2 linked regions of the Xenopus tropicalis genome follow. The protein of the gene in region 1 interacts with the protein of each later gene in a pairwise test. Links are inferred from orthologs where the notes say so. Each region holds a gene or a part of one and is shown in the gene's direction. Other genes may lie near its edges.

Region 1 (3,757 bases):
GAGAAGAAAGTATTGGTTAAGGCAGGGATCCCCAACCTTTCTTACTCATGAGCCACAGTCAAATGTAAAAAGACTTGGAGAGCAACACAAGCACCATAAAAGTTCATGGAGGAGCCAAATAAGGGCTTTGATTGGCTATTAGGGGCCTCTATGCAACCTATCAGCTTACAGTGGGCTTTATTTGGTAGTAAACCTTGTTTTTATTCAACCAAAACTTGCCCCCAAGTCAGGAATTCAAAAATAACTCCCTGGTTTGGGGGCACTGAGAGCAACTAATGTTAAGGTAATGAGGAAGGCCTACTTGTGCACTGGATGAATAGGATAGCAAGGTGTATGCGTGTCAAACATAAGAACAGTGGTCTTCCAATTGACCAGCCCCCCCCCCCCCCCTTTTAAGGCCCACCACCATTTTACCAGGACACCCCCAATAGGGCCAACTAATTGACCCCCCCCCCCTTTAGCCCCATCATTTGACCAGGGCCCCCCTTCCCCTTTAATTTCCACCATTTGACCTTACCTCCCCCCCCCCAATAAGGCCCAACACTTAACCAGGACCCCCTCATCTAAGGCCCACCACTTGGCCAGGATCCACCCCCACCTTAATTAAAGCCAAAAACTGCCCAGGTCCCTTATCTTCTCACCTTTAAGACCCACCATTTGGCTTGGACCCCCTTAGCCCATAACAAGATCACAGACTCTGTGTATTATCCATTCAGTCACAGCCATAAGAACAGTGTTCACCCCAAAACTTGCTTTAAATGACCTTCATGAAGGGAATTAAATAGTACCTTGGGCATTCTACCCAGCTATGTCCCCGGGTGGCTGCGGGTTGGCCCTGCCAAGGCACCGAACATCCTGGTCGAGGGGCAGATACTCCGTTAAGGAACCAGTGTATTGAACGTAAACAATATATGTTTATAGACTGTACAAAAGGCACTAGTGAGCAATAACAAGCTGCAGCGTGTGCGGATACAGTGTTATTGTTACAATGAGGCTGAATACTCTGCACAACGCTCCTACTGCCCATAACCATAGCGCTGGGCAGAGCAAAAAAGATGCCAAAATCCGGCGCAACGCAAAGGATCCAGAACCAGAGGGGGGTCCTTGCGGGAGATTTTCGGGGAGCCTGTACCAGGAAAGAGCGGTGCGAGAGGAGACCGCCGACTCACCGGGGGAAAACGAGCGTTGTATTTCTTTTTCTTGCTCGGCATCTTCAGCGAGGGAAAGGGCGGGGGAGCAGAACTCAGCTGAGGCCTCCAGAGAAGCGGCAATAGCCACAAGCAGCAGCGCCGGGAGACTGGCAGTGTTCGCGCCCAGCGATGTTCATTAAAGTTGAGCGAATTGAGGAGGAAACACACCCTGCCCCGCTGTGCTCACTGCGCTGCTTCGCGAACAATAAAGTTTATTGACGAGCGCTGCCACTTCAGTGTTGCTTTTGTAGCGAGCAGTTCATTGAGTTGTGTATAAACTAAAGTTGTGTCAGCTTGGCCGCATTGCAAAATGCTTCTGTAGCGGCACACTTTCCCGCTGTAACAAAACCCATGCGATTTTTGTTTTTCTCTGAACTCGGAAATATTGCTGTATTGTTTGGTTTGGATGATGCACATGCCACAATATAAGTAAAGTGCATGGACGGCCGACCCTGAGGTGCTGGGTTGAAGCCAGCCGCGCACTAATGTACAGTATACTGTATTTTTTCTTCAGTGTTAGTGGCTTCCTCTAGTTAATAAAGTTTTTTGAAAAAAATGGAAGCAACAAAACCCTCCCTGTCTAGCAACCCAACATGTCACTGTTTCCGCGGCAACGCGGCCTGGTACAGGAAGTGGGACGCTGCAGCGACGCGACTTCGAATCGCTTAATCTTGTAAGGAATGAGTACATTTCCAGTGATTGGAATAGGCTAGGTTACCTGTTTTCCTGGTCATCGCCTTCTTTTCCTCTAGGTGTACTCTGTAGCTTTCTAGGAGTTCTTGAAAATGGTTTCATATTTTCATGTATATACACACAGAGAATACATACTTTGATCATTTATGTAGTAGGTACATTTTAATATTTACATTTATTTTAATCATTCTGTGGATCTCCACGAACACATATGTATGAATGTGTCTGGATTTGAAGAGAATGAGAGAAAGAAATAATATATATATATATATATATATATATATATTACAAGCTATTCTTTCTCTCATTCTCTTCAAATCCAGACACATTCATACATATGTGTTCGTGGAGATCCACAGAATAACTAAAATAAATGTAAATATTAAAATGTACCTACTACATAAATGATCAAAGTATGTATTCTCTGTGTGTATATACATGAATAAATATATATATATATATATATATATATAAAATACATAGTGATATAATACATTCATACAAAGTTAAAAGAACAACAATACCAAAAAATGAAAGTGTAACAGAATACACTTGTATTTACAGAGCTAATTTGTTATTTGTAAACCTGTGCATTACTCCTTCCCATCTTTAATGGCTACCCATTGCTACACAGCAGTGTGTTTATATACACAATAATAACATTTCTGAAGCAAACACATCAGTTTTACTATATGACTATGAAGATTTTCATTCATCCAGGTCATGGTATATCAGGCATGGGACCTGTTATCCAGAATGCTCAAGACCTGGGATTTTCCGGATAAGGGATCTTTCTGTAATTTGGATCTCCATAATTTTCAAAAATTGGAATTATTTGTTTGTAATGGAGTCTATGGCAGATGGCCTTTCATTAATTTGGAACTTTCTGTATAATAAGTTTCCAGATAAGGGATCCCATACCTGTATAAATAAATCTAAAGCAACTTGACTTGCTAAGTAATCATTGAAGACGTTTCAATACTCATCCGAGCAGCTGTCTTCAATGATTACTTAGCAAGTCCAGTTGCTTTAGATTTACTTATACTAGATATCACTTTTATTAGTACAGGACAACAAATTATCATGTTTTAATTATTTTCAAACACGTTAATGCTCGTTGATGCGGTCCCCGATCCGACTGCCCCATTGCCGCTCACATAATCCGATCGTCTGGCCCCAGGGCCAAACGATCGGATTATTATTTTTTTTACCTAAATGGTCCCCGATATCGCCCACCCGTAGGTGGGGATATTGGGGGAAGATCCGCTCGCTTGGCGACATCGCCAAGCGAGCGGATCTGCTCGTGTATGGCCACCTTTAGGCTGGTGCTGGGAAGAAACCTCACTGGTCTGGGGAAGTTAGAATTGCATTGTTGTCTTTCTGGTTAATAAATGCAGCCACGCAGATAGGCAGCTGCTGGAATGGAGCAGTGAGCACAAAGAGCAGACAACCATCTCTCACATTTCCTGCTTGCATTTGCATGCCTAGATCTAATTGCACACATGCCAGGCTGCAGTCATTTCTTTCCCATTCCCTTATTCCCAGCATAAGGACAAATTTATTAAAATTTAAGATATTTGTTTTGCCTCAATGTGATAAAATGCTGATACACTTGATCTTAATTATCTTATTATATGCATTTTGAGATACATTTTTAAAAAATCGCTTGAAAAAATTTGCCTGATAAAACCCTGTTGAGCTTGGCTAGAAGTAATGGGAAGTGTTTTTTCAGGATTCAAGCTATTTTATTTTTTTTGCGATTTGTAAGTCAACCATAGACTCATTTAAAATGAACGGATCAATGCAAATATGCTAGCGATCCAGAAAAAAACTCTGATAAGCTGGCCCTGGTAAGGGCAAATTTTATTTAAGCA
Region 2 (3,657 bases), on another chromosome or scaffold:
AGATCATCTCCCACAAAATCCATTTTAGGCAGATTTTTATAACTGTAGTTATAAAACCGTGCCTGGTGCTTTGATAAGCCGCATGAATCCATATTGGAGGCAAAAACAATCCTGTTGGATTATGTTTAAATGTTTTTTTTTTTTTTTATGGGGACCTTTAGTCATCATGATGTGGAGAGCAGCGATGAGGGAATCTGTCATGTTTCGCTGAAATTCGGATGGATGACTTGAAACCTGGTGAAAAAAGTTTCTCTCATTACTTGTCGAGAATTGTTAAAGCAACGCTGTGTGTTTGGCTTTTTTTTTTTTTTTACTGGGCTTTAGGGCTGTGGCACACAGGGAGATTAGTCACCCGCAACAAATCTCCCTTGTCGTGGGCGACTAATCTCCCCAATATGGCATCCCACCGGCGAGAATGTAAATCGCCAATGGGATGATATACGCGGCACCGCGATCGCCGAAGTTGCCTTGAGAGGAAACTTCTGTGATTTTGGCACCGTGTATGCAATCCCACCGACGATTTACATTCTCGACGGTGGGATGGCATTTCGGGGAGATTAGTCGCCCACGACAGTGGAGATTTGTCGCGGACGACTAATCTCCCGTCTGTCATGGCCCTTAGGGGCTTTGGTGCAGATCGTCTACAATATGTACTAATGGAGTGGGGCTACTTCTGTACAAAATTAGATGATACTTTTTTTTTTTATCCTCAGTACTGACATGATTTTTAGGTTTTCATAGGATTGTGTCAGTATCATTTGAAAGACTTTCGGGATAATACCTTTTATTTCTGACTAACCTCGGCTTTTCTTATTACTCCTCGATTGCCTCCATTTTGTGTTCTTATCTTGTTATGGAAAGCTAGACATTGATAAGGGGCATGGCTAACCAAACATGGCATGAATTAAATGGTTACATATCAGGAATAACTGCTGGTGTTCTCTCAAACTGCACACACTCTCTTACACAGTATGTTTTGTGATTTATTCGTCAGGAATACTTAGGGTATAGTGACCTCTAATGCTTAAATTTTTTTATTTTTTTATAGAGTGCTTATGTTTATGTCTGTAATGTGGATTTTGTTAGATGGCTTAGTTTTTGGATGAAATGCTAATAAATGTTGTCTTTAAACAGACCAAGACGTGGAGAATCTGGGCCTGGATCTCGCAAACAGAAAGAGCTGCCCACGGAACCTCCATTTACAGCATATGTTGGAAATCTTCCATTCCATGTTGTACAAGGAGACATAGATAACATATTTAAAGATCTAAGTATACGGAGTGTGCGGCTAGTTCGAGACAAGGAGACCGACAAGTTCAAAGGTTGGAAACAAGTTACTGTGTTGTGTAATTGTTATCTTCATTTTTTTGTCAGCATATTTTCCTTGTGCTGCATATTCTGTATAAGGCTTATGGCACATTGTGTGGTGGAGAAGCACTTGTATCCAGCTATGCTACCTGCTAATGGATTTTGGAGCTTCTCCACTGGCTAAAAATTTATATATTATTGCTATTAACATTAAGCCTGTGTTTAGTGCAATATAGTAGTGGTCAGAACGCTTCTGTCACAGCTCACTCACTGTCAGTACGCACGCAGAGGGTGGTTGGGAGCAGAACTGGCTTTACTCTACTGGTGCTTGTATATGTACCCCTGGTCATGTTTGTATTGGTGTAAAAAGTCAGTTTTATTTTGTTTTGCCTTAGTAAGAGTTCTTATGTTAGTCCAAAGTAATAGGGCTAGACCACTAGGGAGACCTAAAGAGGCAGCTACATTGGTCCAGTCCAAAATGTCACCCTTGCCTTCTGGGATTTTTGGAGGCTTATTAATCAAAATGTGAAAAAAGAGCTCTAGTTTACTTATAAATATGCTTTGAAATCCTGGAAGAGAACAAAAATGTTGTGTTGTAAAGGGAGCGCTAACCCAAAACATCAAAACCTTGGATAAGGCAAAGGGATCTAAAAAAATGACCCAATGCAAACTTATGTCCCTTGGGCTTTTTTTTTTTTTTTTTTTTTTTTTTGTCTTGGTAGTAGTTTCTGAGATACAGGTATGAGATCTATTACCCAGAATGCTTGGGACCTGGGGCTTTAAGGATTAAAGGAGAAGAAAAGGTAAAAATCATTGGCGGTAGCCAAATGTTTGGCACCCCCCAGTGACTTCAATTGCTTACCTTTTACCCCGGGCTGGTGCTTGTGGTAGGAGAAAACCGCACCAACCCAGGGTACCTGCAGTGAGTGTTTTCTCTTCCTTCTAAATCCTGTGGCCTGCGCATGCGCAGTAAAGTGAAAAAGCCAACTTTGTTAAAGTTCGGCTTTTCGCTCTACTGCACAAACGCGCAAAGACTGAAGAAGGAAAAGGAGACACTTGCTCACATGTACCCCAGGATGGTGCTCTTTTCTTCTCACAGGAGCACCAGCCTGGGGTGTAAGGTAAGTCATTTTGGCGCCCCCCAGTGACTTAGCTTTTTTTTTTCCTTTCTATAATTTGGATTTATTATAATTTATACCTTTTTATAATTTATACCCTGTCTACCAAAAAATCATTTAAACGTTAATTTAACCCAGTAGGCTTGTTTTGCCTCCAATAAGGATTCATTATATCTTAGTCTGGGTCAAGTACAAGATTTTATATGTATATTTACAGAGCAAAACAATAATTTTATAAAAAATTGAATTTGATGCAAATTTAGTCTATAGAAGATGGCCTTTCCCTAACTTGGAGCTTTATGGATAACGCGTTTCCAGATAACAGATCTCATACTTCTACTATCTTAATATGCTGCTAATTGCTGCATTTTGTTTCTTGTCACAGTTATTAAACCTGAAATTTTCTTACAGGATTTTGTTATGTAGAATTTGATGATCTTGACTCGCTTAAAGAAGCCTTGACGTACGATGGTGCAGTAAGTTTGTTTTGCGCTTTCATTTGTGTTTGTATGCCAGTCCTTATCCAGACATCCATTTTACACCAAAAGATAAACTTGCCTGTAAAATTGGTCCAGTTTTCAACTGTATTTCCCCCTTTCAACAGATTTTTATTGACCGGGCTATTCGGGTAGACATAGCGGAAGGCAGAAAACAAGATAAAGGTGGCTTTGGATTCAAGAAAGGAGGACCTGATGAACGAGGTGATTTGGTTTTATTTCTTGGACTTCTCTCCCTTTTTAAGAAATACATCAGTCGGAAGTTTTTTTTTTTTAAATCCATTATGTTTTTAACCAGGCAATACCTGTTTAGTGTGCACTTATTGGTTATAAATCTGAATTAGGTTGATTCAATTAAAATACACATGGTGCTTTGGAATTTTAGGAGTCCTGCATTGCTATGTGTACAAATCAACTATTTGCCTGTACAATACAAGAGTGCTTCAGACTGGAATAAACTACTAGCAGATGCAGTTTGTTGCTACTACTTATAGTGTGGTCTGCTATAGGGATGCACCAAACCCAGGATTTGGTTCTGGATTCAGCCTTTTTCAGCAGGATTCTGATTCTGCCAAATCCTTAAAGTCACGTGACTTTGTCACACAAACATGGAGAACAGCACACGCTTATCTTTAACCCTTCCGTGGCCACCTTTGCATATGCTAATTAGGATTCGTATTTGGTTCAGTATTCAGCTGAATCTTTCACTAAGGAATCAGGCTTCGGCTGAATCC

The links. The genes of interacting proteins can lie anywhere in the genome.
Region 2: the proteins of c11orf68 (region 1) and eif4h interact in binary tests that used the Homo sapiens proteins (3 or more experiments, as listed by UniProt). The two-hybrid records come from large-scale screens. The link is inferred for Xenopus tropicalis from reciprocal best matches to the Homo sapiens genes C11orf68 and EIF4H.

What each region holds. Positions count from the first base shown.
Region 1 is NC_030680.2:38,500,012-38,503,768, reverse strand, and holds the start of c11orf68 (UPF0696 protein C11orf68 homolog), read left to right. Parts: upstream 1-1,499; 5' UTR 1,500-1,863; intron 1,864-3,757. Other genes in the region: drap1 (dr1-associated corepressor), read right to left, coding at 1,170-1,211.
Region 2 is NC_030678.2:100,958,894-100,962,550, reverse strand, and holds part of eif4h (eukaryotic translation initiation factor 4H), read left to right. Parts: intron 1-1,134; coding exon 1,135-1,322; intron 1,323-2,837; coding exon 2,838-2,902; intron 2,903-3,030; coding exon 3,031-3,127; intron 3,128-3,657. UniProt on the Homo sapiens protein: Stimulates the RNA helicase activity of EIF4A in the translation initiation complex. Binds weakly mRNA.